Arabidopsis thaliana: one gene and its partner. The protein of the gene in region 1 interacts with the protein of each later gene in a pairwise test. Each region holds a gene or a part of one and is shown on either strand. Other genes may lie near its edges.

Region 1 (7,515 bases):
TGACGCGTGTACAAAAGGACGAATTGGCTTTTTTCACGTGCGAGAATATTATTGGCCATAACATTTGATCTTAGCATGAGGTCGACCACATTAGATTTTCAGATTATAAAAATAATTATCTAATGGTTAACTGTAACATGCCGTCTTGTCGGTACGGTTCATACGGATTCATATTAAAATTTGTGATGACTAAAAAAGTATTTAATAAAATATATATATTATTAAAATTGAGGTAGCCGGTGATCGGTGGATTTGAAGTACATATCGCATGCATGTTCCACGCGCAGCTTGTCTCTATATATGTTCCACGCACATGCAATTCATTACTGCAAATTTTTTTATTTTTTTCTCATTGAATTATATTTGATATTAGAATTGGAAAAGATATAATACATATGAAAATAAAGAGTTTAGACTTTAAAGATACACAAAGCTCGACCCATGAAGAAGGGTTTTTTTCGAGAACATTGCAAAAACCAAACTAATCTTATCTCGAGACTAAACAAAGCTCTCGAAGTTCACCACAAGGACTTCCCGCACAACAAACTGAGAAGACGGGCTTCAACACTTATGGCAATAACAAGATAGTGGAACTTGGTCTTCTCCGTAAATGATGCTTCTTTTTCAAAGAGTACCTAACCCGGATGAACCGTAGGATAATCGAGAACCACTTAAACCTTTCAACACCACAACGATCAATTAATTAAGCTAATCGTTGCTTAATACAACAAAAGAAGAACTGATATGTAATCCAAGAGCTCAACCCCAAACTAACAAAGTCTAACTTAGTCGGGGAAGAGAAGCTAAGCCCAAAAAAGGGAGACAATAGCCCAAAAGAGGGAGACAAATTAACCTAAGCCGCTGATGTTACCAGATCTCATGAATACAAACTGATCAGAGCAACAAGTTTCACAAAAGCAGAAGACATGAGAGACAATGGAGATACCGAGTTATCGAGAAGTCGATCCGATGTTGCACAGATTCAGCCATGGGAGAAGAGAAACAAGCCGTCAAGAGAAGAAGCAAAAGTCTTGAAAGTCCACCGGCAAAGATGAAGCGTGACTGCACTCCATGACCAGCGAACAAGAACAGTGACCTAAGAACACCCTCGACCATCAGATCCCACAGATCCAAGTACCAAAACCCAATCTCACTAGATCTGCTTCACAACACTCACCACTCCAAATTGTAAAGAGCCTCTATGCTTCTAAAACCAAAGAAGACATCTATGAAAAGAAAAACTAAACAGGAAACAAGAAAGGTGACCGACGCCGGCGTTGTAGGAGCCGCCACGCGCCGTCACGAGCACAACGACCACTTGGAGTTAAAGCAGGGAGGCGAGAGAGAAAAAATGTATTAGGGTGAACCGACCCAAAACATCAATGAATTCATTACTGCAAATTTATTATTTGAAAACCGGTACTTTTTAAAAAATTACTGATATTTTTTTGTTTATGATATGATTCAGAAAAAGGTCACTTGATTTATTTGATTTTTATTGAGTGAGAGATGTTTATTATATAGACAATCAACATATTTCAAAAAAGAAAAAAAAATTAAACCTTAAATCATCAATAATCATAACATGGCATATAGTGATATAGATTATAGAATGGGTTTGTCATTCAATAATAGTACTATTATTCAAGCATCGGTAAGTTAATATATGATGTTTGTTTTTTTGTGTAACTTTTTGGTTCCGTTAATGACTCCACATGTTTTAGAACTACACGGCGCTTGATCTGTTATCACTTATCATCATCAGCAGATAAACAGTTTTGATAAATATAACTACAGAAAAGGCAAAATATCGTACGGACAAAGAATTCAATAATAATAAACAGTACTGTACACAGACACCAATACATCTAAACACGCGTCCCACGCGCCAGAGGACCAAAAAGAGAGAGAAAAAAAAAGTCAAAGCCAGCGTTTTAAGCTTTACTTACCTCTAAAACGACACCAACCTTTTTTCATCTCTCTCTCTCCCACGAGACTTTATTTTTTTTCCCTCTTCTCTTCTCTTCTCTCTCTCTCGTTCATTGTACCTTCCTCCATTTTTTCTCCATCTTTCCTCTCTAATCTTTTTATCTTCTTTTTCTTCTTCCCTCCTTTTAACGATTCCGTGGAGTCTGGAATATGATCTTGTGGAAATCTCTCAGTTGTTTCTCGTTCGTCTTCGGGTTGTTGTTGTACAGTGCTAGTTTCGTTTGTGCTGGAGACATAGTTCACCACGACGATTCGCTTCCGCAGAGACCTGGTTGCAACAACAATTTCGTTCTGGTTTGATTTTTGATCTATTTCACTTTGATCTGTCGTTCTTACTCTTTCTCTTATCTCCTTGTCCCTCTTGTCTATCTCTTGGTGACTTTCAGGAATTTGGAATTTAGTTTAGGCTTTGGATTGTAATACTAGGGTTTAGTGGAATGAGTCTGTTGATTGCTTTCTCACTGTCCTCCTCCTTCTATATCTGTTGTTGCCAGCAGATTGAGAAATTGGGTTTTTACAGACTCTAGAGGAACTTTTGGATTCCAGATTTGATGTCATTCAGAATAGAGGGAGAGTAGGTATAGCCATGAGTTACCTAACTAAACCCTCGTTTTAGTCGCATGGACTTTCAATTTGTTGCAAGCTTCTTGTTAGCTATAATAAGGAGTCATTTGGTGTGAGTGAAGAAATTGGGATATAGATCTGGTTTGCGTTTAGGACCCTGCCATGTCATCTTCCAACATATATAACTACAACATATAATTTCATGGACAGGTGAAAGTCCCAACTCGAGTCAATGGGTCGGAGTACACGGAGTATGTTGGTGTTGGTGCTAGGTTTGGCCCAACCTTGGAATCTAAGGAGAAACATGCTACCCTCATCAAACTTGCTATTGCTGACCCTCCTGATTGTTGCAGCACTCCCAAAAATAAGGTAAAGTTTCCTTTTTGGCTTGTCTCTCTTGTACTCATCTTTCCTTCTTGTGTAATTCCAGTTTCATTATCTTTTGGTAGCTTACAGGAGAGGTCATTCTTGTTCATCGTGGTAAATGCAGTTTTACCACCAAAACTAAGGTTGCTGAAGCAGCTGGTGCCTCTGCCATCCTTATCATAAACAACAGTACAGGTAATTCACTAAAGGCTTTTTTCTGTATATATTCCTCCTCTTGTACTAGTTCCAAGTGATTATTTATTTCCCAATTCTAGTTAAATCCCTCTTGAGTTTTGCAAGGTTGAATGTTGCTTTGCAGATCTTTTCAAGATGGTCTGCGAGAAGGGTGAAAACGTTTTAGATATTACTATTCCTGTTGTTATGCTACCTGTTGATGCTGGTAGAAGTCTGGAGAACATAGTCAAAAGTAACGCTATAGGTAATTCTTCGTATAAATCAAACTGTACTTCCGCATAGATTGCTCTTCTTGTATTTTAGCATATCTTATCATAGTTTGGCATCTCTGTGCTCTCTCTTTTTCTTTGAGTTGGTGTTGACTATATTTGTTCAGTTACTCTGCAGCTCTACTCGCCGAAACGTCCAGCAGTTGATGTGGCTGAGGTCTTTCTTTGGCTTATGGCTGTCGGTACCATTTTATGTGCTTCTTATTGGTCTGCGTGGACCGTCAGGGAAGAAGCTATTGAGCAAGACAAGCTGCTAAAGGTGATTGCTGGCTCAAAATTTCGTACAATTTTATATTCTGGACATCCACCATGTTCGAACCTTTTGACAGCCAAGGAAAAGTGCCCTCATTCGTTTGTTATCTATCTTAAACTGCAGGACGGATCAGATGAACTTTTGCAGTTATCAACCACCAGCTCTAGAGGTGTTGTTGAGGTCACCGTGATATCAGCAATTTTGTTTGTAGTGGTGGCTTCTTGTTTCCTGATCATGCTCTACAAGCTTATGTCATTCTGGTTTATAGAGGTGTTGGTGGTACTCTTTTGCATAGGTGGCGTAGAGGTAGAACGTTTATCTTGTGACCAATTGAAATCATAGCAATACCTTATTGAACCATCCTGTACTGATGTTGAAAGTTTTGTTGGTGCTATCAGGGGCTGCAAACTTGTTTGGTCTCTCTACTCTCATGGTATGTATAGTTCTTCTCTCATTAACATTTTCTTGTAAGGAGCTTGTTTCACCTCTTTTTGCTTTTCAAAGAGCAGTAGAGAGGAACATTAAGATGGAAACAGCCCTTTAATACTAGAAGAAACACTCGTGATCCCAAGATTTTTTCATTATTTATTCTCGTGCATTGATCTCTTTTCAAACTTTCTACGTTCTGCATTGTCTTGATTTCAGGTCTTGTTTTACCATGAAATAATGAATCAGATAGAAACCATGAGTTGTTTCTTTTTGTTGACTATGAAATGCTAGGGTATTCAAGCTTCTTCACTCTTTGAGAAGTAAAAAAGAAAATCTGATACTGACGTTAAATTTGTTATAGTTTCAGATGGTTCCGCCGCTTTGGAGAATCATATGTCAAAGTTCCTTTCCTGGGTGCTGTCTCATACTTGACTCTGGCTATTTGTCCCTTTTGCATAGCATTTGCTGTATTTTGGGCGGTTAAACGTCAATACTCTTATGCTTGGATAGGGCAAGATATACTTGTAAGCGCGGGTTTCCATCTCTCTCTCTTAACTGACCTTTCTTGAATCCATGTCTTTCTACAAGTATACCTACTGTTAAATTTCCATACAAGGCTACCATGTACATACCTTCATGCATATGTATAAGTAATTGGTGTTAGGTTGACCTATCTGTAGTCTTAACAAATAACACAAGTTAACAGCTTACTTTTGGTTTTTCTTGCTGACAGGGAATCTCACTGATAATCACGGTTCTTCAAATTGTCCGCGTACCAAATCTTAAGGTATTACCAATTCCTTATCAAATGTCACATGGGATTGCCGTTACAATCATGAGGGCACTAAATATCACATGTTGACAAACACCTTTAGCCATCTCGTACCAGCTTTGTTTTGAACCATCACTTTTCCTGTGTATATATTCTGAATTTGTGCTCTAACATGTTGAAAATTCAACTGTCTAAACCAATCAGTTGAAGACTGAAAATTTGATTGCTGCTGGTAGACGGATACAATCATTTCTGCCAATGTATAGAAGACCAATCTCTATAATAACAATATTAGTTATGATGACTCATTGAACTCTTACGTAAACAGGTCGGGTTTGTTCTTCTCAGCTGTGCCTTCATGTATGACATCTTCTGGGTTTTTGTTTCAAAATGGTGGTTCCGTGAAAGCGTGATGATTGTGGTAAGTTTTTCTTTTTTGCTCCAGACCATCATGCAAGAAGACTTTGTTAGATATTCCAACTACACATACTTATCTGTCTGCTCCACACTGATATTATCGGAGAATTGTACGTCTTTTCCCATTTTCCCACATATAGGTAGCCCGTGGTGACAGAAGCGGAGAGGACGGAATTCCAATGCTACTAAAGATCCCACGAATGTTTGATCCTTGGGGTGGCTACAGCATAATTGGATTTGGTGACATTATCTTACCAGGACTGCTTGTAACTTTCGCACTGAGGTTTGCACTGTTACAATCTCCTCTTGCGCTCTCTCACATTATTACTATATCAAGATCTCAACTAAACTGAGTTATTAGAAGCATACAAAAGTATGAAATGATGCGCAAATGCGGATATCAATGTAAATCAGGACAACAAACCAATAGAGGTGCTCAGCGAAAACAACAAAATGTGAAAAGGGTTTATCAGAAACATTGGGGTCATGATATACCTTTATATCCGCATTTGCGCATCATCTCTGACAGATTTTTTATAAAACAAAATCGCTTGAACCTGGCAAAAAAATCTTATAATCCGACATTCTGGTTCAATTTAACCTTATGTCCTTATGCTTTGTGTCTGTTTAATGTGGTTTGCAATTTTTTGAAGAACTTGTAGATAGAAATATACATTACATAGTCTAGTAAATAGATGAGTGTGAATGAATCAAATGTCTTCAGAGAAATCAGGGTAAGGTTGCACTAGGTAGACAAATGGAGACAAGATATTGTTTAGAAAAAGAATTGATAACTGTAGGGATGTGTTTTCAGGTGATCCATCTTATCATTTTCAGTAATAAAAAGGAAACCTATTATGATAAGTACCTTAATCTAATGTTAAATCCGATCAAAATCGTGCACCGTTCTGCAGGTACGACTGGCTGGCGAACAAGAGGCTAAAGTCAGGGTACTTCCTTGGGACAATGTCTGCTTATGGTCTAGGTATGATCCCTCACGTAGGGGAGAAACGAATAAGAAATCTAGTAAAGGTTTTTTAATATGATTCTTGACAATCACAGGTCTTCTCATAACATACATAGCTCTAAACTTGATGGACGGACATGGGCAACCGGCTCTGCTTTACATCGTCCCATTCATACTAGGTAAGAACACTGAACCCACAACAGATGTTTTGGAACCAAAAGCTATGTATGTTTTGAAACTAAGAATGGTTTGTGGTGCAATGTGTCAGGTACTTTGTTCGTGTTGGGTCACAAGAGAGGTGACTTGAAGACGCTGTGGACAACAGGGGAACCCGACAGGCCATGCCCTCACGTTCGTCTTCAACCTCAATCGTCTTAAAACAACCTGCTATGTATCAGATGGGAACAGATAAAAATCAGATGATCCTCTAGTTTTTTTTTATTGTTAATACAACACACCCCTTCTTAGGTCAATATATATGTCTCTGTACGCTTTCACACAACTAGACAGGAGAGCCCATACCACATTTGCCTTAAATAACTCTTTTAACCTCTCTTGCTAGTTTCTCTCTATTATTAGACATGAAACCATGAATAGACTTGGCTTCTTTTCCTGAGTCATGATGATCAGATTTTCTTCTATAACATACATATGTCCAACTAGTATTTTACAGATTACTAATGTAAAAGGGTCACAAGTTTTTTAGAGGAATTATATATAGTAGCAACTAAAATTTTTCATTAATATGACTGATAGTAATAAAAACTGATGCTAACACTTCTAATATAAAGTTGATGTTGATAAAAGTCTAGCTTAACTGAAAAGAAAAGAAAAAAAAACGAGTCTTGAAAATAAATCAGAAGTTGTTGTTGTTGGTTTGTTATGGGCCGATACCGGTGACCCATTAGAGCACGTTGGACCTATAGTTAAAATGCTGGAAAAGATCTTAAAAAAATTCTAGTGATATTTCAAAATCCGATATTCACCTAAACTTTCGCTTTAAACATTTGCTTTTCCGAATTTTTTTGATAATAAATATTGCTCCACTAAAAATATAATCTTAAATTATATCGATATCACAAGTAAAGTAATCATCAAGTCAAGTTCAGAGTCTCTCAGATCATCGTACCGAATCTATAGAGGAAGCAGCCGATCTCGCTATCAGTCGGTAATATACACTATCATTCTACTTTCCTAATTTCTCTTCTTCTTTTTGTTTTCTTTGAGAATTGCATGACAAACCCTTGGAAAAGGGTTGTTTTAAAATCATCATGAAATTTGAGAATATGATCGG
Region 2 (4,123 bases), on another chromosome or scaffold:
GATCAACACTTTTAGCAATTGGGGATATTGTACTATTTACTGGATTATGCTTGTGGAGGGAGCTCATGGTGCTCCAGATTATCAAATTTTATATATGGTAGAAAAATAATTATACCATTACAATGTAAAGCATTCGAGTTCGAATTTCATTGGCGCACTTTGATTTTATATAGGAAGATTGAGGTTAAGTTGTAATAAGTGTGATATTCATATTATTATTGGAAGTTTATTGGTTTAGCCATATGGTTTATTCAGCAAACCATTAACTAAACTCACATGTCAAAAGTTGAAACTTATACCACCTTGATATCCACGTCATCAATTCTTAATACACTTTTGTATTTTGACCCAAATTTACGGGGTTACACGTTATGTAATTATGATATATGCATGACATACACGTTATGATATATGCATGACATCGCTAAAATAGCATAATGTTAATTAGTTATCTAAAACTAAAGACCTGTGTGTGGATATTATCTTCCAACATTAACAAAAAAATCCCGAAAAGGAGAAGAACAAAAGCTTTTAAAAAAACTTTGATCACCCCGTTCTATACCAATTGATGTATCTTTAATGGAAGAGAACCATTATAAATAGAAACGAATTAACACCAAATGCACCGTGACACGAAAGATATTGAGTGTAAGAAACCCCAAATTCCTTGTTATATTCGCTTAGAATTATTTTTACAGCACCATGTACATGTGATCACAAGATATCAATTAAAGTTAGCTAATTAACTTTATTTTTCATTTTTTGGGCTACTAGTTTGCTAATTAACTTTTTACCGAGAAAAAACTATCAGTAGAAAGCCAAAAAATTCAATGAATAAGAAAAAAAAAAAAAAAGCCTAAACTTACATACATATATGATATATCTACGATAAATTTGCTGATAAACGATCTGACTTCTAACTAAGATTCCTGTTTTACCTATTTTAAAAAAAAATCGAGAACCATGAATCAAAGCTCAACTATGTTAATCATGATTGAAATCACGTACGTTCTCGAATGCTTAAATAAATATGTTAATCAATAAACCGCCATAAATTGGTTAAATATAAATCTACTTGCAAGAAAATTGTAATTGAACTTTATTTTCAATTGGTAAAATGTTCCTTTTTCACGTACACAAAAAAGTGTTTGAAGAGAAGCGTGTTTGTGTTATACGGACTTACGAAAATCTTGTGTTCCCATTTCTCAACCACAAAAGCCTAATTTCTTGGTACCTCTGATTGTATACTATCGTTTCACAATTACAGTTTCATCTGATTTCAATCAAAAATTACAGTCTCATATGGATCAAATAGAAAAATAACGAGAGTCTGCATCATCAACTCGTGTTTGTTGTTTGTCCCTCTCTCTGATCTTTAACGGCTTTTGACGAAAGAAAAATATCCCGCCTAACTCAACCAATAGACACAAGACATGTGTCGGCTTGTGGTAGTTCTATCCGTATGAAAAACGCTTTCCATGTTACCATCCAGTGAACTCATCCCATCATTCACTTACACGTGTTTTTTCTTCTTGACGACCAAAAAAAAACAATTTGGCACATACCCATTAAAAAAAAAATACTTCTTATTTTTCATAATACTTTTCGTAGATTGTCACTGTTATGTAACTCATTCATAGAAATTTACCGCGTAAATTGCATGAAAAATCACTAGTCTTAAGAATCACCTAATTTGTTTTTCTGAACTTACAAATATTCGCAAATTACTTTCAGTTAACTCCCTAATACTTGGGAAGACCATTGACAATACAAAAAAAAAATCATAAGAGGAGGTACAGTCACACACACAATATTACAACATTACTAATATAAATAATCAACTTTATGGTATAGGTTCAAAGAACCAAAGGGATCGCATAAATCACGACGCTCTAATTGATCCACGTGTCATGATAAACATAAAGTGGGACCCGTATTGAGGCTGCACGTTAACGAAGATTGGGCGGCGGTGTAATATTATATTATATATATACATACACGAGTAGCAGAGCTTCGAAATCTTTAATCTCAGAATACAAAAAAGAAAATCAAAGAAGATAGTTTTGTGATTGTTTTCTATAAAAAGTGCAGATATTTTCTTTGTCCTAGAGAAAGAGGTGATAGGAAAAATGGGTCTCCAAGAGCTTGACCCGTTAGCCCAATTGAGCTTACCGCCGGGTTTTCGGTTTTATCCGACTGACGAAGAGCTGATGGTTGAATATCTCTGTAGAAAAGCCGCCGGTCACGACTTCTCTCTCCAGCTCATAGCTGAAATCGATCTCTACAAGTTTGATCCATGGGTTTTACCAAGTACGTATAACCTAATAACCTTAACCGTGTTTGGTTTCTTTGTAGCTAGTTATGTTTTTTTCTCTTCTAACTTGTCTTTTTGGTTCTTTGTAGGTAAGGCGTTATTCGGTGAAAAAGAATGGTATTTTTTCAGCCCGAGGGATAGGAAGTATCCAAACGGGTCAAGACCTAATCGGGTTGCCGGGTCGGGTTATTGGAAAGCCACCGGTACGGATAAAGTTATCTCGACGGAGGGAAGAAGAGTTGGTATCAAGAAAGCTTTGGTGTTTTACATTGGAAAAGCTCCAAAAGGAACCAAAACCAATTGGATTATGCATGAGTACCGTCTCATCGAACCCTCTCGTCGAAATGGAAGCACCAAGGTATAAATTTAGTTAAATACATGATGTATCCAAAAAGATAAGTATATAGTAATTGTAATTATACTGTTCAACGAATAACATATTTTAAACTGTTTTTATGTTCAGCTTGATGATTGGGTTTTATGTCGAATATACAAAAAGCAAACAAGCGCACAAAAACAAGCTTACAATAATCTAATGACGAGTGGTCGTGAATACAGCAACAATGGTTCGTCGACATCTTCTTCGTCTCATCAATACGACGACGTTCTCGAGTCGTTGCATGAGATTGACAACAGAAGTTTGGGGTTTGCCGCCGGTTCATCAAACGCGCTGCCTCATAGTCATAGACCGGTTTTAACCAATCATAAAACCGGGTTTCAGGGTTTAGCCAGGGAGCCAAGTTTTGATTGGGCGAATTTGATTGGACAGAACTCGGTCCCGGAACTCGGACTGAGTCATAACGTTCCGAGTATTCGTTACGGTGACGGTGGAACGCAGCAACAAACTGAGGGGATTCCTCGGTTTAATAATAACTCGGACGTCTCGGCTAATCAGGGTTTTAGTGTTGACCCGGTTAACGGATTTGGGTACTCGGGTCAACAATCTAGTGGGTTCGGGTTTATTTGATTGTGTAATGGTAACGTAATAAGAAAAACATATTTTTATTTTTTGTCCGTGTCAGATTAGTTAATTAATATAGCGTAGAATTCGAACTCTAGGGTTAGATTTAGGTTCTACGACTTGTATTGTATATTCGTCGTCATTTGTCCTGACATTTACATTTTTGTAAACTTTTATAGCTGGAACTTTTGTATTGATCAATTATTTATTAGAAAAACAGATATTGCATTGGATCTATAAGTTTTGTACTTGCTATTGCTAACGATAAACGATAGAAATGTGAAAGTTTCCTTATCATTCATGACACATTTTTGTGTCAACATCATGTAGTATTATCATTAACAACGAATCAGCGATTCATAATTTATTATATTAATCGCCATAATATATCGATAATCTAGGAACCATAAAGCGAATATGACTTTGCTCGCTATCGCTCATCGTTTAATATTAGTACCAGCTAAAACGAACAATAGATTTGTCATCATCTTTCGCTGATGACGGTAACCATATCATAGCGAACATGACCAAAAATGTATGTTTATCTGAGATGATTTCTAGCCTATAGCACTAGTATACTTTTGTAAAATATAAAAATACTATTTATATAAACACATGTGGCATAAAGAAATTTCGCACGCGATAGTTGTGTATATATTCATTTATGTGCAATGGCATTTGCAAGCCGTAAGGTTTGAAATAGTAATATTGTACAGCTGTTTAAAGAACGTTCAAAATTTGTTAGAGAAATTGATATATATATATTTAAAAGGATATGGATAAAGATGTTATATTGTTTAATGGGAAAAGGATAGTGATGGTATTAGATGGCCAAATCTTAAAGACCA

The links.
Region 2: the proteins of SPPL4 (region 1) and NAC3 interact in a two-hybrid assay, tested with the Arabidopsis thaliana proteins (one large-scale study listed by BioGRID).

The regions. Positions count from the first base shown.
Region 1 is NC_003070.9:232,272-239,786, reverse strand, and holds SPPL4 (SIGNAL PEPTIDE PEPTIDASE-LIKE 4), read left to right. Parts: upstream 1-1,881; 5' UTR 1,882-2,139; coding exon 2,140-2,283; exon of another isoform or gene 2,284-2,763; coding exon 2,764-2,922; exon of another isoform or gene 2,923-3,002; coding exon 3,003-3,114; intron 3,115-3,238; coding exon 3,239-3,358; intron 3,359-3,490; coding exon 3,491-3,642; intron 3,643-3,759; coding exon 3,760-3,942; intron 3,943-4,034; coding exon 4,035-4,069; intron 4,070-4,426; coding exon 4,427-4,589; intron 4,590-4,798; coding exon 4,799-4,852; intron 4,853-5,165; coding exon 5,166-5,258; intron 5,259-5,394; coding exon 5,395-5,537; intron 5,538-5,627; exon of another isoform or gene 5,628-5,781; intron 5,782-6,168; coding exon 6,169-6,239; intron 6,240-6,316; coding exon 6,317-6,400; intron 6,401-6,489; coding exon 6,490-6,599; 3' UTR 6,600-6,947; downstream 6,948-7,515.
Region 2 is NC_003074.8:5,232,602-5,236,724, forward strand, and holds NAC3 (NAC domain containing protein 3), read left to right. Parts: upstream 1-1,855; 5' UTR 1,856-2,129; coding exon 2,130-2,310; intron 2,311-2,403; coding exon 2,404-2,672; intron 2,673-2,777; coding exon 2,778-3,281; 3' UTR 3,282-3,595; downstream 3,596-4,123. UniProt on the Arabidopsis thaliana protein: Transcription factors that bind specifically to the 5'-CATGTG-3' motif.